Rattus norvegicus: one gene and its partners. The protein of the gene in region 3 purifies or fractionates together with the protein of the main gene of each other region. This does not show direct contact. Links are inferred from orthologs where the notes say so. Each region holds a gene or a part of one and is shown on either strand. Other genes may lie near its edges. The genes, in order: Akap11, Gskip, Gsk3b, Epb41l3 and Axin2.

Region 1 (4,646 bases), on a different chromosome or scaffold from region 3:
CTGGTCAGGCACATGGGAATGTTTTGGATGTGACATAGATTCACAGTGGCTCCAGAGGAAGGGACTATGGGGGTGAGCAGGTGGTGTTACTTCCGTTTCCACACCCAGAGGCCAGCATTTCTTAGGAAAGCATTCCTGGTATCTGGCTCAGTCAGTTACAGTGTCTCAGTTGGTGTGTGAGGTCCAATTTCACTTGGCTTGCCCAGCCTGCTATCTCGTCTTTCAGAAAAGTTCATTTCCCTCACCTGCTTCCCCTGCCAGGGCAAGCGCGACAAAATGGAATTCAGTCTCAGCCAGCCTGTGTGGAGACCAGAGTGCCTTGTTTTATGTACGAGGAACTTGAGACTCAGGATCATAAAGAGCTTATGACTTGCTTATGTCACTAGTTAGTGGAGTGTTTCATACTGGAAGACTTCCTGATTTCTTTTGTTTTGAATTAAACTTCTTTTTCCAGCCTCCAACCTCTTTTCTAATCTCACTCTACTAAAATCTACAAAGAACATTATTTTATGTTCCATATTTTTTAAAAAGTATTTTTTAAAAAGCTAATTGTTATTATTCCCTCCTATAAAAAAAATAAATCTTTAAAGCTGCTCACTGTACATTCCCAGTTCTTTTCTTGGCTGATACAGCTGTAAGAGATCTAGCCTCCATTATCATCCCAGGTTTATTTCTTGTTGTCGTTCAAATGTGCTTGCTACATTACATCCCAATTTCGGGCATGTGAGTTATCCTACTTTTTGCTAGCGATGCTCTGCCCTCCCATTTTTGTAGGGCTATTATCCAAATCACTGCTTTTATCTTTCCTCCCACAAGGGCACCGCCCCCAAGTAGTGGCCCAATTGTAACCACCATCAGATTGTGATGATTTGCGAGTTAACACCTACAGATCTCTCTTCCCAGCCCCCAATCTCTACATCCTAGTCTATTTGCCTTCATCATGGTTCAATAGACAAACTGGGATGATAACTAAAAAGCTGTAGTAAGGATGACAGCTTTCGGCTGAAGAAAACGAATATATGAATGTACTCTTTCTTGTTCCTCTTCCCTGAAGAGGACAAAAGAAGTAAGGAATATATACTTCAAAACGTCTTTCTCATCTCTCTGCCAACTTGAGGACCGGATGTCCTTGAGGAGACCATGCAACGTGACTGTACTGATCCTTCCGATTTAAACAGGAGTCACATAGCTTGTCATCCAAGGCTAGGGTTCTTGGTGGTCAAAGCCTTATTTCCCAATTTCAATGGTCCATGGGGTAGGGAGGTGCATTCCCCTTGGACTGACTCCAGAGGTTCAGATTGGGCCCGAGGCCTGGTGCTTTCCCCATCCCCCAACCCCCTGGTTTTCCCTGGTGATGTTGGGAACCGGGCAGAGTCATTCTGAGGGATGGGCCGTGCGTGGACCCTTGATCTAGTGGGCTGCCGCTGTGGGAAACCAGCCCCAGGAAGGTGGGGCGGACCAAGGCAGATAGTCTAAGGAGGCGGACGTCAGCTCCCTAGGCTCCATTGCTTGCTAGAGGAAAGGGTTAAGCGGTTCCCAAGGCAACGCACCAGGAAGCGCGCAAGACGTCAGCGGAGAGTTCGTAGGTCAGCTTCGGGTTTAAAGCTCCCACGGGCCGAGGGCCACCCGGCCAATGGAGAGGGTGCCTCCACGTCACGTGACGGGCGACCCGCAGCTTTGCCCTCCAGAGCACGTGGGAAGATTTTTTCCCCCCTCCTTGTTCCTTTTGCGCGGGCTCGGCCACGGGGTTGTTCTCGCGAGAGGTGCGACTGCTCTCGCGAGAGTGAGTGGGCGGCGTGGGGAGGCGGCGGCGGTGGCGTCGCGGGCTGGGGCGGGCGAGGGATCGCCGCTGCGCCGCGGCTCGCGCCACCGGGCGTTGCGGGCCGTGACGGGAGGGTGACATGCCCGGGAACTGAGAGGCTGCGCCGCCGGGTGAGCGGGGCGGGGAGCGGGGAGCCAGCAGGCCTGGTCCAGACTGCGGCGGGGCGCCGTGGCCTCGCTGCGTGGGGCGCAGGCGGGAGGACAGTGCACTTTGTCCTCCGCAGCAGCATCCTTCCCTGTCAGCGTCCGAGCCCAGGTCCGCGACGTTGCCCTAACCTCAGATACCGCTGTTTGCATCGCTGTCACGTCGCCCCCAGGCTGGCCAAGCATCCGAACTGCGCTACCAAATAGAAAATGGGCTGGCCAAACCACAGTGACAGTACAATCTAAACCCCTCGTATGGCTTGGTGACAGCCCTTTACCTCTGCTCTTTAAAAAGAAAAAAAAAAAAAACCCTATTAGTTGGAGGTGGCTTAGCTTTAGGCATTAAGGCATTTCACGGTGAGCAATACTGCTGAGACACATCGCTAATGGCCTTGGCGCATACTGGAGTTAATATTCGCAGTTCTTCTTAGCTTTGTAATTATTCATTTGCTTCTAAAACGCCTGTTTTCCGTTGCATCTTCTCACCTTGTTAGCAGTGTTATTTATGTTGATACTCAATTTTGTTATGTATGAAAATATCTAAAAATAAGAGTGTCAGGAAAGGTGGAGTATTTATTTATGCAAAGATGATTTTGTTTTAATATCTTCGCGTTTGGGTGTGTGTGTGTGTGTGTGTGTGTGTGTGTGTGTTGGTAGAAGGCAGCTCAGTGCCTGGTATGATTGATGTCATTTTAAATAGTGTCACCTAATCTTTCAAACTGTAGGAGCATTTTTCAAGGAATATCCTGGTTATTCATACTTAATTGTGTTTTCCAGGCAGAACTGTGAATCATGGGTTGGCAGTAAATTAAACAATTAGTTGTGTTGTTAGTAGCTGACTTAGGAGGGATAAAGGGATATGAGGGAACTGGGGGAAGAAGTGGGTTTATAAGCTGTGCTGTGGCTAATGTAGATAGATAGCTACGAAACTGCTCAACTGATCTGCCTGGAAAGGAATTGGCAGTAAATACTCTGTGGCCAGTGATTTTTCCCAGTCGTTGAAGATACTGAAGTTAGAACCCCATAATTATAGTGAGAGTTTTGCTAGCCTTCTCTCTAACCTCTGAATTCCAGGGCTGCGACTAGGAAACAGAAGAAAATCCTCTGGGAGAAAGGATGGTACATTTTATTTTAATTCCAAAGATTTAGTGTCTGGGAAAGGAACTCAGCCAATTCAAAGCATAATGCAGCAGGTTGTCTAAAGGGAAAATTCCAGTTATAAATAGGGGAATTCTAACCACACACGAAGATATGAAAAACTTAGGTGAATGGGCAAAGGAGATTACAAAAGTTCCCTTCCATTCCTCTAACTTGTGGCAAGGGTTTCAGACTTTTAGGGCAGTGGTTGCTCTGTCTTGTGTTTGGAAAGCAATTAAATTAACTTTGGATGGAGTAATTACTTACGTAATTTTTTTCTTTTTCTCCTTTTCTTTTTGTGAAGTGGCCCTGGTAGTAAAAAGAATTAACCAGTAAAAGAACGAGTGTTGGGAGGTTAGAAGATCTGCATTTGCTTGAGTGGCAGTAGAAGGCAGACACACTGGCATTCTGGCCCAGGAAAAAATGTGCCTTACTGTTTTAAAAGCAAACGGGGCAGATCCATTTCTTTTCTTCTCTTTTTTCTTTTCTGTTCTTCCTTTGAGAAAGAAATTAATTGAAAATGACCTCCTGAAGATAAGCACTCAGAATGTATGGATTATTGACTGGACTTGACAGGAGGAGGAAGCTTAGTGATTTTGTGTTAGCCTCTGACTAGGTGTTTTTCCTTTGACCTTCCTTAATGGTTTGAGGATTATTTGGCTGCCAGAATCAAAAGGCCATTAGAATTAGCTTACTTGAAAAAGGCATTTGTCATAATTTTGTAACACTGATGCCAAGGTCCAGTTTGCAATTTTAGCTCAGTGGCTGGGAAACTGGACCATCTTGAGGTTGGAGCACATAGAGTTTTCTTTTAGTTCCCTTCTACTAGCTGCATGCCCTCCTCAGTTGTTAAATAATCACCTTCTCCTGAAACCTCTTGGTTTTTGTTCTTTGGTTTGCCAGAGTGTTCACATCAGACCCACCTTGACTTGGCATCATAGTTCCTACTGACCTCTTTAACTCTCAATTCAAAATGTCTGTACATGGAGAGAAAGCAGTGGTCAGCTTTCCAGGTCTTGTCAAGTTGGTTTAGCATAGAGTAGGAAGATGTAGAGTAGGAAGTTGACAACGGGAGGTGGATGGTGGGGAACTACACATGTGGCTTCTCAGACTGCTTCAGCAAGGTCTTTAAGATGTGGGACATCTGTAGTTGGGAGGAAATGATGGATACCTCTGGTGTACTGTAGTGTCTTAGGGTTTGAGTTCTTCCCCCAAGTCCTGCATTGCACTTGGTCTCAGCTACCTAGAGTTGTAACCAGATTCAGTGATCCCTTTCCAGGACAGGTTCTCTTGGGTTTGTTAGGTGACAGACTGCTTAAAATAATTTATATAATGGGCATAATGATGCCATGAGAATTGTAGATTCACATGTGTGACACAGTTTCTTTCTAGCTGGCAAATTGCAGTTATGGTGCAGAAGTATGATGTGTCCTGTTTGTTGCTGACTCTGTACTGGGCTTCTGCAGTGTTCAGAGAAGAAATTGTCATTTTTCTTTTCAGTCTAGTGCTGACTACACATACTTAGAACTTGTTTAAAAACTCCT
Region 2 (3,682 bases), on a different chromosome or scaffold from region 3:
TTAAAAAACTAAAGCCGGGGCTGCAGAGATGGCTCAGTGGTTAAGAGCACTGACTGCTCTTCCAGAGGTCCTGAGTTAAATTCCCAGCAACCACATGGTGGCTCACAACCATCTGTAATGAGATCTGATGCCCTCTTCTGGTGTGTCTGAGGACAGTGACAGTGTACTTACATATAATAAATAAATAAATCTTAAAAACAAAAAAACTAAAGCCTACAGGGGACTTTACTGGCTCCAGTAACTGAAAGAAAGGACCGAGGTGGGAAACTGGCTGAGCAACCTGCTGGCCTCTCAGGTTTTTGCTGCTCTCTTTCCCCCCATCAGCATTGCCCTTTGCCTCCTGTCCTAATCTCAAGATGGTTGCCAGAGTGTGCCTGACTGGACTAAAAAGACTATGAAGAAGTCCACTGTAACTAAGAACCAGAGTCAGTCTTCACCATATCACCTGCTGAGCCCACTCGGTAGAAAAAGAGGCGTTCCAGTTCCCCTTAGGACTCAGGGTGTAACGAGGCAAGGGAAAGGTGGTCCCGGGCAGGAGAGCAGTGCTCAAGAGCATTTCCCTACCCTCGCAGCACCCAGCACCCTCACGGTGATGTGACCTCCTGTAACTCAAGCCCCAGGGGGACCAACGCCTTCTTCTGGCCCCCTTAGGCCTCTGCGCACTGTACACATCCACAAACACACACACACACACACACACACACACACACACACCCCTACACATAACTAAAATAAGTCATTTGCAAAAGTTTTAAATCTTTCACATCATTCTCAAAGGGGTGCATGAAGTCCCCTAGGTGTCCTCTTTTTGGAACTCAGGGCTGATTGTTACCAAGTAACCATCTGGTGACATACTCCAACAGCCTGTAAAGCCATCTTTCTGCCATCTCTCTGCTAGACTCCTGCTAAGAGAATTTTAGGAACATCTTTTTCATGTAATGGTTAAATGTCTGTACTTAATTATCATATAAAGTCATGACATGCATGGTGCTTGGAAGCTAAACCTTCTAAACTGACTTTTTTTTTTTTTTTTTAAATCAAGCCAAGGCCAAGTCAGTGAAAGTACTTATTCCTAGCCACTGGACTAATGGACCAAACTGAGTCTATAAACTATATTAAATGGTCACATCTATAAAACCAAACATTACTTTAAGCAGTGTATTAGTTGAGTAAGGGAAACATGTTTAAAGAAGTACAGAAACCCATTTCAAACAGACTGGGTCCTTTTCCACTTCTGTGTGAACTTGACAGCTAAAAACATTCTGTAAGCCTCCAAAAAGGTATTAAATCAAGGATATACTTCTTAAGACAATGAGCTTTTGTCCTATGCCTCATGTTCTTACATGGGTTCGGTCCCCAGCTGCGGGGGGGGGGGGGGGGGGTGCCTCTCCCAAGGAGTCAGCCTAGAGTCACTCAGCAAGGCACATCCGGTGACACAGAGGGAGTGACCTCTGACTTTGCAGTTCTAGTTCTGAATATCGAATTAGGGGAACAGTTACCCATTTAAAACCATGTGCTCACTGGGTATGGTAGGGTGTGCTCCAAATCTCAGCACTCAGGAGTGGAGGAGGCCAGCCTGGTCTACAGAGCAAGTTTCAGGTCAGCCCGGGCTATGCAGAGAAGCCCTGTCTTAAGAAGAAAACAAACGGGTTGGGGATTTAGCTCAGTGGTAGAGCGCTTGCCTAGCAAGCGCAAGGTCCTGGGTTCGGTCCCCAGCTCCAAAGAAAAGAAAAAAAAAAAAGAAGAAGAAGAAGAAAACAAATAAAGATATACACTCCTACACTCATTTTCTGAGACACTGTTGTGACAAAGCTAAAAATGGCATTTGAGCTTTAGGAAAAATGAAGAAAAGGGTTTTTTTTTTCTCCAAAAACTCACAAATGTCTGTAATTTTTACTGTGAAAACTACTGAAAATTTTCCCTGAAATGGGGTGTGTGTGTGTGTGTGTGATGTGCCATTGTGTTAGGTCTCTCTGGGTCTCGTGGCTGAGCACCAGCAAACTCTAGCCCTCACTGGCAGCACTGGCTCGCAGATGTACCTGCGGCCATGCCAGGCTGGTTACTCAAGTGCTGGTGTTAAACTCAGGTCCTCAGTGACCGCCCACTGAGCTGCCTCTCAGCCTGTTTATGTTTTATACTGAGTATCGTTGTAAGGCTTAGGGTGGTAGCTTAAATGAAAACTACTCCATAGGCTTGCAGGGAGCGGCACCATTGGGAGGTGTGTGGCCTTGGAGTGGGTGTGGCATTGTCAGTGGAAGTGGGGGCAGGTGGTGGCCTTTGAGATCTCAGACGCTCAAACCAGCTTTCGTGTGTCTCAGTCTCTTCCTGCTGCCTGTGGACCAAGATATAGAACGCTCGGCTGCTTCTCTAGCACCATGTCTGCCTAGATGCTGCTGTGCTCCCCACCATGATGACGATGGATAAACCTCTGAACCCCCAATTAAATGTTTTCCTTCATTAGAGTTGCTGTGGTAGCCAGGCTTGGTAACACGTGGCCTGTAATCCCTGCACTGGGGAGGCAGAAGTGAACTGATCTCTGAGTTTAAGGCCTTCATGGTCTGAGAGTGAGTTCCAGGACAGCCAGTGATATGTCCAGAAACCCTGCCTCAAAATACAAACAACAGCAAAAGAGCTGCTTTGGTCACGGTGTCCCTTCACAGCATTAGAACCCTAAGGCAGAAATTGGTATGGGGCTGGGGCATTGCTGTGATTGCCTGACCATGCTTCTCTTTGGAGGACTGTGGAGTTTGGAGCCTTGGATTAGAAAAGCAGAGGAGGGGTTGGGGATTTAGCTCAGTGGTAGAGCACTTGCCTAGCAAGCGCAAGGCCCTGGGTTCAGTCTCCAGCTCTGAAAAAAAAGAATAAAAAAAAAAAAGCAGAGGAATGCTTTAAGTGGGGCGCAAGGGGCCACACTAGTAGGAGCATGGAAAACAGTACTGAGGGTGACTGCTCCTCATACTTTGGTGAAGCATGTTGCTGCCTTCTGCCCTTGTCCAGTTTGAATGGCTTTCCATTGAGTCTGTCACTACTTTCTTGCAGAATGGAAACAGACTGTAATCCCGTGGATCTAAGCAGTATGTCTGGATTCGAAGAAGGCTCCGAGCTCAACGGGTTTGAAGGAACAGATATGAAGGACATGCAGCTGGAGGCTGAGGCCGTTGTCAATGACGTTCTCTTTGCTGTCAACAACATGTTTGTCTCAAAAAGCCTGCCCTGTGCAGACGATGTGGCTTACATCAATGTGGAGACAAAGGAAAGAAACAGATACTGCCTGGAGCTCACAGAAGCAGGGCTCAGGGTAACTCACTTTTATTTTAGAAGGAAAAAGCCTATCTTTGTCATTTTATCAGAAAGGATAAAGGGGAACATTATGTAAAAAAAACAGATATAGGTATCTTTAAAAAAAAATTAAGAAGTATTTTCCCCAAAATTTTGGCTAATAAATTTTTGATCAGCACAGAACAGTTGAATTTTGAGGGAGTAGTACATTTCGAAAGTATTGATTCAGTTTGCTTTAATCGTTACCACCCAGACTAGCTGTGTCTCCCAGAATGGGCTCTCCGCAGGGGTCACCCTTAGAGTCGCTGAAAGACCTCTGCCTACCTTCTACTCCCGTCCACACCAGATGCTGGGCTGGGCTGCGCACTAGGGGGCATGTTGTACAGCCAGAGCCCACATGAAA
Region 3 (3,942 bases):
ACAGGTTTTTGTCTGCTAACATAGCAATGGCACTAGAACAGGTTAAGAAGATAGGGTCAATGCAGACCTCAACCATCTCTAACCCTTCTATCAATAGACATCTCCAGCGAGATCTGAACAACCAGTGGGCTTAGCTGAAAAGCTAATGAATTAAGTTGCTCAAAAATTAAGCGATGCATCATTGTAGGGATTCAGGAATATCATTGCCCTACCGATTACAATATTAACATTTTAAAAGTAACATTATTTATTAACACATTTCTAAGTAGTTTAGGCTCAGAAGTAAACATTTCAGAACTAGAAAACCAGTGCAGACCCCATTAGTTAACTCAGCAGCTGAGTTTCTCCAGCGCGGCTGGGACTGAGCTCCACACACGTCTTTTTGCCATCCATCTCTGCCTCAGTAATGTTTTTAAAAGCTTATCAACATTTGTTTGAAACTTAAGAGCCAAACAAATGCATTAAGCAACTACAATACAAAATAATATTTTTATAATTCTAATAGTAGAAAAGCATAAATTCTAAAATGTAAAAAAAATTAATTCTACTCATTTCTGCAAAAGTGTACTGCTGCAGCCCTGCTCTGTCGTGCCCTGCCTTGTTGGAGAAGGGTCAGGACAGTTAACAGTCACACCCACCGCACCCAGAGCCAGCACTTACCTATACTAGACGTGTAATCGGTGGCTCCAAAGATCAGCTCTGGTGCCCTGTAGTACCGAGAACAGATATATGAAACATTGGGCTCTCCTCGGACCAGCTGCTTTGCACTGATGAAAAATAAAAATAAAAAACAATCTTTAATCGTCTAAACCTTGTAAGCAACACACTTGAAATGTTTCCAACAAGAGAAATACACAAGTTCAGCAAATTGATACTTTAAAGAGGAATTTTTAAAGTGAGCATTTGTCAAGCCTTAGCTAAGGAACAAAGAGATTTAAAAAATTACAAAAGGACACACATGTTCAATTTCTTCTGGTTTCCCCATTTCCTACATTCAACTTGTGAAATATAAAATGGCTGACGGGCAAGGTGGTGCGACCTTCCCTCCCAGCACTCGGGAGGCAGAGACAGGCGGACCTCTGCGAGATGGAGGCCACTCTGTAGTGAGAGTTCCAGGTCAGCCAATGGTATACAGTGAGACACTGCCTCAAAATAATAAGTAACTAAATAAAATATAAAGATGAAGGGCAGGAAATTAAAGAGCAACCTTCTGCAACAAAAGACTGTTAGCAAATCATAGAAGTGAATGTATCAGTATTCCCCACCTATATGCTTTTAAAAGGGGGAGTGTGGGGGGGACCTGGCTACTCTGTTAAACTTGGTCTTCAGACCCGGGATGACCAGCTCGGCCTTACACAGCCAATCCATGCTTCCACACCGCAGTCGATTTAAACACCTACTGCTAAACAAACTGTAAAAGGCATTTGATTTAAGTGACTCAGGCCCGATCTGCTCCATCGCTGCAGTGCTACGTTGAACATATTATTACAACTTTCCTCCTAAAGTAGTTTACAGTACATATTTTAAATGTTAAAGTGAGTCACAGTGTCTCTTGAAATGTCTCTCTGGGTAACTCCATCTCATATAAGCAGGCTGCTCTAGGAGCTGTTCTGACAGTAGCATGAGATACAGAAAAGAAATACATGCGATAAAATCAAATGAATGAACAAATAGAAAAAAATAAATAAATGCCAAAAACAGGTGGAAAATCTGAGGTAACAGTGCAGGACACAGACATGTGAAAATGGTCATTCAGTCTTGGGGGTCTAGGTTTCCTCCCTTTCAGTTTACTTCTACTCAATGATGGCTCTAAACTTGATTTGTTCTTTCCTTCATTATCTGTTTCAAATTTTAATCTTTTTCTTAGGCCCAGATAAAACAGTGTTCGCTATGTTAACAACACTAAGGTTTTCAGACTGTCAAAAAAGTCAAGATATTCAGTGTTAGTGCCCTCGATAACAGACGTTTCTATCTTCAGAAGTGCGCCTTGGGGACTTGGAATGGCCCCTTGAAAAAGCAGCTCTAGGATGCGGAGTTTAAATCCAGCTCCCGAACGAATGACCAGCAAGCAGGACACAGTGGCCCACACCTTCAGTCTCAGCGCTCTACAGAGGCAGAGGCAGCTGCTGCTGCGACAGCCAGGGCCACAGAGACCCTGTCTCAGAAACCAAACACACGAGGCACATTTTTTTTTTTTTTGGTTCTTTTTTTCGGAGCTGGGGACCGAACCCAGGGCCTTGCGCTTCCTAGGTAAGCGCTCTACCACTGAGCCAAATCCCCAGCCCCACGAGGCACATTTTTAATGGGTAAAGCAGATGCTTAGAAGAGAAACGCACAACAACTCAGTCATCCAACTGAGAGCTTTGACAGCCTGTATCCTTTTCCCTCATCACCAACGAAACTAACTTTTCCCTTTACCTAATGGCCCTTAGACACCCCAGTTAGACTCTATAAAATGGGTTTTTTTCACACCCCATTTCAGCTACTGCCAGACCTGTTACACCTAATTAAAAATTATTAAGAAGGCAGTTTTGTTAAGTTTTCACCTTAAGTGTCTCCAAAATCCTACCTCAGAGTTGCTAAAGAATGAGCTATTTCACACCTGTGAAAGCCCTCTTTCAAATGTATCCAGGCACAGCTACTTTACACCCGTAGAATCCGCTGGGCGCGGGCGCGAACAATGCTCTGACATGGTGGTGAGCAGAGGAACTTGCACTAGGTGGCTCTTGCAGGACTCGGCAGTTACTCTCCCCAGTAACAAACCCCATGTGATTTGGGTGCCTTTTCATAGGTGAAACAAGCAGCAGCCCACCATTCAACCATCAAATAAAAAAACGCCTTAGTGTGTATTTTCACCTGAGCCGCAGCCTGCAGTGCTGAGACCCTGGGATAGGGTTTGTTAAGTGGAATGGCTTGAAAGAAACTGCAGAACAAGACTAAGCATGAACCTACTGACAGCAGGTTGGCTCGGTTTTTCCAAATACCTCCCTTCACCTGCACTGATGTTAAACCCACAATCTAATCTACGGTTTGGTATAGACGTCTATATAAAGAGGAGGGACTATAGACAGCAGGAGTCAATGTATCATCTGTGGTGCTAAACTGAAAAAGAAGAACTTCTAACAAGGATGAAAAAGCACCCAAGTTATAAGGACAGAAGTCTCAGCACAGAGAGTAGGGCTACCCCCGGAGGCGACAGATAGAGAATGAAGAAGGGATATGGTGATCTGTCCTGTGGGGTATAGGCTTGGCTGCATGTTGGGAGGCTTTATAGCTAAATGCTACACAAAGAGAAAGCATGAGGAGTTTACACTAGCAACAGTATATAACCAAGAAATCGGCGGTTTAAAAAAAAATCATACTTGTTAGAATCTGCAAAAATGGGGAAATAATAGAGGAAATATTAATAGTAAATATTAATAGAGAAAAATATTGCCTCTCTGTATTTTACTGCACTCCTGTATTGAGGTTGAGTGTGAAGTTAAAGGAATATATGCAAATGTATAACTTAAGAGATTTATTAGTAATAAAGATGGAGCAGATATATGTATTCCATAAGCTCAAGGAGTTTATACTAAAGAGCAGTCATTGGGAATGTAAGTTTCCCAAGTACACGATAATCCTCAAACATCCCGTCCCAGACAATCGTGTATGAGGTATTACATATCAACTCAGAATAAGCCATGTTTGTTATGTGTGTTTGCACACTAGTCACAAAAGGGTTTTTAAAACAAAAGCTACCATGCATACAGTACTGACTTGACAGAGGCTTTCCTTTCGCACAGGGTCTCACTACCTGGCTTAGGCCAGCCTCAAACTAATGACCTCCCACATCTACTGAGTGACTGGAATTATCAGCAAGTGCCGCCACGGCCTTTTTGAGCCTGAATGTTAGCATTCCAGCACTCCTGTGGCAGGCGGGACAACTTAAGTCCCTGGGAT
Region 4 (3,942 bases), on a different chromosome or scaffold from region 3:
CCTCCCCCAACCCCCAGACAAAACAGTGTACCCCAGAGAAAGTCACTCACGAAATGCAGGAGATATAAGACATTCAAAAAAAAAAAAAAAAGTTAGTGCTCAGTTCCGAACCAAACCAAACAGTCGGAGGCACAGACATTTATCTTGGAAGCGTGAGGGCGCTTCCAAGGGGCGATGCTGTATCAAAAGCAGGAAGGGGCACGGCTAATCCCTCTACAGCTCCAAGCTGAAACATGGATTCAGCTAGTCGTTAGAACCCGCCGTGGTTCTTACCAGGCAGAAGGGCAGGGGAAGTCAAATTTGACAATTCAAATTTGGGTAACGAGGACAAGGGGAAGCCCAGACGGCGAGAGTGGCGGCAGTAAGGCCTGTGCAAGCAAGGAGCCTCCTTTCCCTTTTCCTCTCACTGGCATGGGTGCCCCCTTTCCCCCTCACTTGAGTGGGTGCCGACACAACCCTGAAGACTGAACCTCTACAACCCGGGACCCACGAAACAGTTCTCCTCCTTCTTGCTTGCCAGGCCCGACAGGCGCCAGTGAGAGAATGAGGGAGAGGGCAGGTCAGGCGAAGGGTGGGAGGGAGTGCCCCATGCCGCATGCCACCGAGGCCAGCCTGGAGAATCCGTGCCACCTCTTACCTGCGGTCAATCCTCTCCATCTTCTGGTGTGATTTCTGTCTCTTTATGGACCACTACTTTGGTTACTGACATGTCGGGGTGCTGCTCTTTGGCCTCTTTAATTGCCTGAGCCAGCGCCTATCCCCGGGAAATCACAGGAGGGCAAAAACAAAAAGGAGGTGGGACATGCATGAGCGGTAGCAAGATGTAGACTTACACACGCTAAATCTATCCCCACAGCTAACACCGAGGCACAACGGTCGAGGGAGGGGTCAAAGGCATCTACTGGAAGGTTAACTCGGAAACTTATTGTCGAATACGCACTGGGCTGGGAAGATTAGCACTGGGAACCCAAAGGGCCAACATGGTCACGTTTACCCCTCTGACAGAGCGTTTACCGTCTCGCCCATACTACCTGGTCATGGTCAATGTCGGCATCTCCCGTGATGACTATTCGCTTCTCAATCCTCGTCTCCGAAATGCCTCCTTTCACAGTCTAAAGGAAGCAGAAGAGCTCTGTGAGCTATCCGCTGGGGTGACGGGGAGGCCTAGCTGCCATTCGATCTTATAGAACTAAAATAGGAGTCGACCACAGACGTTTAACGTGTTTACTTTCAAAAGTGAGGGTAGGGTTGAGTTCTTCGGGTTTGGTAGGGCCAGTTTCTGTGAGATCCACTCTACGCCCACCACTGGAGAGAACACTGAGGACCCTCAACAGAAATTAGCATACCGTGGGAGATGCACGGTAAATACATGTGTTTTTAAGCTTACTTTTTTGTATTAAGCGTTTTTTTTACTGGGTGTTTTATGTATTTACTTTTCAAATGTTATCCCCTTTCCCCCCTCTCCCATATCCCCTCCTTCCCCTGGTTCTATGAAGATTAGAGCTCACTTTAATAGAGCTATCTGTGCAGCCTAATCTGTCCAAGGCTCTGAGGAGCGATGGCTTTCCCCAGTGGTCAGGAACGCTGTCGGGTGTCTCCCCACTTACTTTGGTGATATGTGTGGTGGTGGTAGTACTCGTGGTTTCAGACGTGATCGTTTGGGCGCTCATTAGCACACCTGGCTCCAGATCTGCCCCAGGATCGACCTAAGCGAGACAGGAACACACAGAGCACACGGGCACCGTTATATTTCCTCTCCTCAGGACTGGTCTGTTCTTTAATGCACTACAGTGAGTGAACACAGCCCTCCCACCTAGGACTCAATCAACCACAGACAGAAAAACACTCAAATCTATCTGCAAGCAGACCGAACGTGTGCAGACCCTGGCCAAGTAGCGGAGCGTGACAACTGCCCGCTCAGCATTCATGTTGTGCAAGGCTGTCCAAGCCACCTAGAGATTATTTAAATGGTGCCGAGGACATTCGCAAGTTACAAGCAGATGTTGTAACTCTAGGTGAGGGACCGCAGCACCCACGGAAGGAACACGCTTCTTCGGAAGGAACAGTTGCTTCTCACCATCCTTGCACAGTTCAGATGAAAGGTGAGAGCTGCCAAGAGTAAGCTCTAGGCAATGAGGGTCAACAAACTGAGACTTAATAAATGTGAGCTGAGTGTGGCTGAGTGAGCCCTCTTCCTTATCCATAGCTGTACACTCAGGTTATCTGAGGCCCAGGCTGAGCACCGACACCTCCATAATCAGCGATCAAACTAACGGTTGCACTGCACTGTTCTTCAAGACGAGGCTTGGCTGCAGGATCCTCCAGCCTCTTAGACTGATGCCATGTAGTTAAACTTGAATGCCCAAAGCCATGCAGTCGCCAGGTTCTCACAGACCGTCTTACCTGAGAAGACTCGTACGTGATGGTTTTCGTCTCTGTGTGGACCACTGGCACCTCCTTGGTAGAGGTCTCTAGCTTCACTCCTCCTGGAGAGACACTGCCCACACTTATGCTTTCTACCTTCACAGTGGACGACTGTATCGTGGGAAGCAAGGGGAGAGGTTATGGAGGCGGGCGCACAATCTGAGCTGCTTGCTCTTGGTTCACTGTGCTCAGGACTAAGTGAGGGGGTGACGTGGGGTTCGTGGCACAGAACAAATCTACGTTAGTCTCTCCGAGTTACAGTGTTGCTAATGTAGATTGTTCAAGGCAATGGAAACATTTGAAAGGAAATTAAAGAATAAGCTCTTCCTTCTGCCCAATCGCATATGCGAACACTGATGCTGTTAAACTTATAGATGAGTTCTTAAATTAGCAACCAAGGATGATGAGGCAAGTATTACATCATCGGTTGCCACCCACCGATGTTTGGAGAATCTCAGTAAAAGGATAAAGGATGAGGTTCTGTAAGTGGGAGGAGAGATTTCTGGTATTCCTAGTAAAGTCAATAATAGATCAGAAATAAATGCCAAGTTTTCTTTTTAAAATCTATTATTATTAGTGTGTGTATGTGTACATGTGTATGTATATGTGTGTATATGTGTGGGTATGTGGGTATGTATGTGTATGTGTATATATATGTGTATATGTGTGGGTATATGTGTATATGTGCATGTGTATATGTATGTGTATGTGTGTATGCATATGTGTGTATAGGTATGTGTATTTGTGTGTATATGTGTTGGTATTTGTGTATGTATATATGTGTATGTGTACATATGTGTATATGTATATATGTGTGCATGTATGTATGTTGTGCATGTATGTATTTTTGTATATACGTGTGCATATGTACACATGTGTATGTACATATGTGTATGTATATGTATGTATATGTGTATATGTGTATGTATGTGTGCATGTGTATATGCATGTATATGTGTGTATGTGTGTGTGTGTGTGTGTGTGTGTGTGTGTGTGTGTGTGTATTTTAGAGGACAACTCTCAGAACATGGTTCTCCCCTTCCACCGTAAGTCCCAGGGACCAGGGATTGAACTGAGGTCCTCAGGCTTGTGTGCCAAGCACTGCTAGCCACTGAGCCATCTTCGTGGCCCTCCAAATCTTCAATGTGTAATCATGGGTCTCCCGTGTTTTCACAGTCATAATTTCAAAGACAGAAATCGCATCCTAGAATTACACATCAACACTACTAGTTTCTGTGAACCAAAATCGTGGAAACCCTGACATGTGATGCAAAGGAAAAGAACAGAAAGAAAGACTAAAGGCCGTGCACGACGGGGCGTAACGTTAAATCTAGCTGCACGTTAACTCCGATCTGAATCTCGGCATCACAGGAAGAGAGTAACGACCACTTACCTCAAAATGAGACTTTTGTTCCAAACCCTCAGAAGAGTGGATGGCCGACACCTGATCCTCCTCCTGGGAGACAGTGGCTGGTTGTTCCTGCTCCGGGGCAGACTTGTCAGCCTCCTCTCCTCTCT
Region 5 (4,592 bases), on a different chromosome or scaffold from region 3:
AGTGGCGTCGGGGGCGGAGGCGGAGACCGGCAGCTCGCCCTCGGGGGTCGAGTCGCCGTGGGTGTGGATGAGTTGGGGTGTGCGTGTGCACGCGAGTGCTTTTGGAAGGTGGGATAAAAGGGTGGCGGCGCCCCCCGCTTGCCCTCCCCGCCCCTCCCCCGCCCCCTCCTACTCCTCTCCCCACTAGTCTCCCCCTCCCATCCGCGGGTCCGTGCCTAGGTGCCTGGAGCTCTGGCAGAGGCTCAGTCTGAGGGTAGAACCGGCCGGAGCCCAGGGCGCTCGCGTCCCCTCGCCGCCCCTTTTGCGGAGAGGCTGAGACTCCGCGCGTCGCCATTTCTAGACTAGGCGGTTGCTTTCCGTGCCTTTTTCTGCGGGAACCTCTGCGAGGCTTGACACCAGGGAGTTACCCCGATCCGGGTTCCGGGGTCTCTGGCCTCGCTCCTGGTGGACGGCGTACCGGGACTCTGGAGGCGTTTGTTTGTAGTTGGGCCGGGGAGGGACGGGACAGAAGGGGCTCAGAGGAGATGAGAGCCTGGCGGCCTTCATCTTCCAGGTAACGGCGTCTCGCCACCTTCTCTGCGCCCGGGTGCTTGGCACTACCCTGCCCCACCACTTCGGGTTTGTGCCCAGCCTGGCGGCCTGAGCTCCGGGACTGGGGAGGGGTGCATCCACCCAGACCCGGGGTCTCGGGCAGCTGGCCCGGAGAGTTTCTCCCTGTCCCCCGGTCCGCCCCTTCTTAGTTTGATCCTTCCCTGGCTAGGGAGAGCAGCTTGTTTATTGGTTAGATAAGACTTCTTTTCTTTTGGAGAAAGACTGGCTTGGGATCAATGTAGTTTGGGATTCTTGGCACAGGCGGTAGTAGCGTGAGAAGCCTTCTGATCCGGTTTTGTTGGGTTCGTGGCTCTAGGAGGTGGATTGGGGAGCCGGGGGCGGCGGGTCTCGAGGTTTCTCTTCTCTCTTTAAAAGTTTGAAGATCAAAGCCTCTTACTTAGTGAACTGTTTTCTGCTTTGGGGAAGCGAAGAAGACACGAAGTGTAGACTGAGCCACGTTTTTGGAGAGTCTTGAGTATAGGCAACATCGTCTGGGATCCGGGGTAATGGGGGGGGTGCATGCGGAATCCGCGAGTTGCTGACCCCCTTCCCGCGGATGCTGGGCGGGCTTTTTTTCAGGCGGGGATCTTCTGTAAGAAGTGGGACGAGGGAGCGCAGAGGGAGGGGTGGGTGGGGGGAATGGGAACCAGATGCCGGGGAAGGGCACTTTGAGAACTCGAGTTATCTGTGCAGAGCAGTGTGGGGAAGTTTACCGAAATTGGTTTCACCTGCACGCAGCCGGGCGGCTGGCTTGCGTGCTCTGGTTGTCGTGGGAGGGGGTCCGGCTAGGTTGCCCCAAGTGTCCCTGGGCCTCGTGAATGTGGGGAAGATTGTGTCTTACACCTCCTGTGTCACTGTTTCAGCCTCACCTTCCCCCCTCCCGCCCCCCAGCACCCCCCCCCCCCGCGGAAAAAGTGTGTGGGGAGCTCAGATTTCGCCTTTGAAAAAGCTGTGTCGGATACTTGAGATGAGCACCTCGCGGATAGCTGGGTTGCTTGATTTGAATTTGAGGAGTTGAAAAGCCTGTTTACTTTCTTGCTTTGATGTTGGGTAGATCTGGTTTTGATTAGATCAATACCCTTTTCTCTCTCCCACCTCCCCCCTCCTTTTCTTTCCAGAGAGGAGGCTCACATGAGCCCCTGCTGACTTAAGAGAGACCAAGCCGATTGCTGAGAGGAACTGGAAGAAGAAAAAGGAGGAGGAAAAAAAAAAGCAAAACAAAACCCAAACTCAGTGAGACGCTCTCCCTCACCATGAGTAGCGCTGTGTTAGTGACTCTCCTTCCAGATCCAAGCAGCAGCTTCCGCGAGGATGCTCCGCGGCCCCCGGTTCCCGGAGAAGAAGGGGAGACCCCACCGTGTCAGCCTAGCGTGGGCAAGGTCCAGTCCACCAAACCTATGCCTGTCTCCTCTAACGCTAGGCGGAATGAAGATGGGCTGGGGGAGCCCGAGGGGCGGGCCTCCCCAGATTCCCCTCTGACCAGGTGGACCAAGTCTTTGCACTCCTTGTTGGGGGACCAAGATGGTGCATACCTCTTCCGGACTTTCCTGGAGAGGGAGAAATGTGTGGATACCCTGGACTTCTGGTTTGCCTGCAATGGGTTCAGGCAGATGAACTTGAAGGATACCAAAACTTTGCGAGTGGCCAAAGCAATCTACAAGAGGTACATTGAGAACAACAGTGTTGTCTCCAAACAGCTGAAACCCGCCACCAAGACCTACATAAGAGATGGCATCAAGAAGCAGCAGATCGGCTCGGTCATGTTTGACCAGGCGCAGACGGAGATTCAGGCGGTGATGGAGGAAAATGCCTATCAGGTGTTCTTGACTTCTGACATATACCTCGAATATGTGAGGAGTGGGGGAGAAAACACAGCTTACATGAGCAATGGGGGACTGGGGAGCCTAAAGGTCTTATGTGGCTACCTCCCCACCCTGAATGAGGAAGAGGAGTGGACATGTGCCGACCTGAAGTGCAAACTTTCACCCACCGTGGTTGGCCTATCCAGCAAAACTCTCCGGGCCACAGCGAGCGTGAGATCCACAGAAACGGCTGAAAACGGATTCAGGTGAGGCTCTGACTGGGCTGGGTTGGGGGTGGGGTATCCCCCCCCCCCAGTGGGGACAGGGCTTGGAGGATGTCTTCTGTCGGGGCGGGTAGGTGGATGGCTAGGCTGGGGAAGCAGATAAAGGTTGATTGAGAGCCAGGACTTCTGGCTGGGGACCCTTTGATCTTATGTTTTGTTGTTGTTGTTGGTGGTGGTGGGGTGTGTGTGTGTGTGTGTGTGTGTGTGTGTGTGTAGGGGGCGTTGCAATGTACTCACAGCTGAGTACCTGCAGCCTTCCACTGCTAACTTCAAACAGTGGCAAGCAGCATTAATGTGGTGACTTATTATCCCAAGCTGTTGGGAGGGAGAGAGAGGGAAAAGAGGGAATGTGAATGCTGCAGCTTTTGATGCCTCTGAGTCACTAGACCCACTAAGTGCCAGTTTGGGAAAGGGTCATTTTCACCGATACTCATCAAAGTAGAATTACTCTGGCTTGGGGGGAGGGGCCGCTGGGCTGTGGCAGAGGAGGGGTGCGCGGGGGTGGGGGGACACAAGGACAGCCGTGCACCTTGGAGGGATGAGTGGTATCCATCTCACTTCATGTTCAGAGCCAGCGGGCAGATTAGCAAGCGAGTTTGTGGTCCCCTTTGTAGAATTAGGTATTTCCCAGGGAGGAAGACTTCTGACTAACTTGGGGGGGAAGGCCCCTCGACTTCCTCCCACGAAGGAGACTTCACTTTGGCGTCTGCTGGCTATTAATCCAGCTTTCAAATGCTGTTGAGCTCCAGGGTCAGACCTCAGTTGCTCAGTGCTGATAGAGAAGTGTGGGTGCGGGGAGAGGACTGCCCCCCCCCCCACTTTCTCTCTTTAAAGCTTCTAAGACAAACTGCCCATTATAGATTTAGCCAAGTCTCAAGGTTCTTGGCCTTTGCAAGCAACTTCAGACCTGTTAGAATGCGTTTCTCCGTTCTCCTTCCTCTCCAGAGATTCCCCCAAAGAGGAGTGCACCTATTATTAATTTTAGTCTGTTGCTTGTGACATGTGGGGCGGGAGGTGGGGGTGACACCAGATTGCTATCTGCATGGCTCTATTCTTCTTGTCCCTGTGCATTTCTCTGTCTCGGGGACCCAGGATATGTGTTCTGCACACAGGTTCTGGAGATCTCACCGGCTTCATGGGGCGTGGTCTCCCATGCCCCGAAGCATCCGGAGGGGGCAAGCCCCCTTTGCTGCTCTGTGGGCATGCATGGTCTTCAGTTTTGGCTGCTGTGGCAAGTAAGGGAAGGACTTGCTCTCTGGTCACCAGAGGGCGCTCTTGCAACTTTGGAAGCAAACTTAACCAATTTTCAGACATCTGGTCTACACCTAAACGGAACTGGCTTGGGTTTTTGAAGGCAAGCATAGGGTCGCAGGAGGGCGTGGTTAGTGGCACTGAGCTTGCAGAACCAGGCTGTTGGGGCTGGGTACAAACAGGTACCTGCCTCTGTTGTCCTGCTCCGTGGCAAGGACATAAAGTTTGCTATTGGTCTCCTCACCCTCCAGCCTGGCAGCCAGTGACGAAGAGTCCTTAAGGCCCTTGGTAAGGCTGCTTCTCCACAGTGGGTCTTCTGTGGCTTCAGTGTCAGGCTCAGAGTGTCACCTTTGTAAATAGCACAGGGCAGTTTCCGAGGCCAGCAGTAAGAAGGCACTCTCCAAGCCACACTGTGCTTGGACTCCTCCTTGTGGGTGGGCAGCCTAGGCGAAACGTTGAGTTGCCTCTTCCCAGAGGCTTCATTAGGATGTTTGCAGAGTACTGGGTCCCCAAGGAGCAGTGTCCTTTGGGCTGGGAACTGTGAATGTCACTGATGAGTGGATGACAGCTCTTGAGTGACCCCGTTAGTTAGCTTACACAGATCAGGTGTGTGTTCTCCCACTGTTAGGTTGGAAGGAAACGTTTACCTGGACACGCCCAGATG

What was found.
Region 1: the proteins of Gsk3b (region 3) and Akap11 purify together in Homo sapiens (affinity purification with mass spectrometry; 4 studies listed by BioGRID and IntAct, with this or other methods). This does not show direct contact. The link is inferred for Rattus norvegicus from reciprocal best matches to the Homo sapiens genes GSK3B and AKAP11.
Region 2: the proteins of Gsk3b (region 3) and Gskip purify together in Homo sapiens (affinity purification with mass spectrometry; 10 studies listed by BioGRID and IntAct, with this or other methods). This does not show direct contact. The link is inferred for Rattus norvegicus from reciprocal best matches to the Homo sapiens genes GSK3B and GSKIP.
Region 4: the proteins of Gsk3b (region 3) and Epb41l3 purify together in Homo sapiens (affinity purification with mass spectrometry; 4 studies listed by BioGRID and IntAct, with this or other methods). This does not show direct contact. The link is inferred for Rattus norvegicus from reciprocal best matches to the Homo sapiens genes GSK3B and EPB41L3.
Region 5: the proteins of Gsk3b (region 3) and Axin2 purify together in Homo sapiens (affinity purification with mass spectrometry; 9 studies listed by BioGRID and IntAct, with this or other methods). This does not show direct contact. The link is inferred for Rattus norvegicus from reciprocal best matches to the Homo sapiens genes GSK3B and AXIN2.

The regions. Positions count from the first base shown.
Region 1 is NC_086033.1:60,362,475-60,367,120, reverse strand, and holds the start of Akap11 (A-kinase anchor protein 11), read left to right. Parts: upstream 1-1,785; 5' UTR 1,786-1,932; intron 1,933-4,646. UniProt on the Homo sapiens protein: Binds to type II regulatory subunits of protein kinase A and anchors/targets them.
Region 2 is NC_086024.1:130,367,149-130,370,830, forward strand, and holds part of Gskip (GSK3B-interacting protein), read left to right. Parts: intron 1-3,039; coding exon 3,040-3,298; intron 3,299-3,682. UniProt on the Homo sapiens protein: A-kinase anchoring protein for GSK3B and PKA that regulates or facilitates their kinase activity towards their targets.
Region 3 is NC_086029.1:76,055,629-76,059,570, forward strand, and holds part of Gsk3b (glycogen synthase kinase-3 beta), read right to left. Parts: intron 768-3,942; coding exon 661-767; intron 1-660. UniProt on the Homo sapiens protein: Constitutively active protein kinase that acts as a negative regulator in the hormonal control of glucose homeostasis, Wnt signaling and regulation of transcription factors and microtubules, by phosphorylating and inactivating glycogen synthase (GYS1 or GYS2), EIF2B, CTNNB1/beta-catenin, APC, AXIN1, DPYSL2/CRMP2, JUN, NFATC1/NFATC, MAPT/TAU and MACF1.
Region 4 is NC_086027.1:116,701,689-116,705,630, reverse strand, and holds part of Epb41l3 (band 4.1-like protein 3), read right to left. Parts: coding exon 3,818-3,942; intron 2,536-3,817; coding exon 2,404-2,535; intron 1,707-2,403; coding exon 1,608-1,706; intron 1,113-1,607; coding exon 1,032-1,112; intron 755-1,031; coding exon 644-754; 3' UTR 638-643; intron 1-637. UniProt on the Homo sapiens protein: Tumor suppressor that inhibits cell proliferation and promotes apoptosis. Modulates the activity of protein arginine N-methyltransferases, including PRMT3 and PRMT5.
Region 5 is NC_086028.1:94,397,024-94,401,615, forward strand, and holds the start of Axin2 (axin-2), read left to right. Parts: upstream 1-1,761; 5' UTR 1,762-1,844; coding exon 1,845-2,659; intron 2,660-4,592. UniProt on the Homo sapiens protein: Inhibitor of the Wnt signaling pathway. Down-regulates beta-catenin. Probably facilitate the phosphorylation of beta-catenin and APC by GSK3B.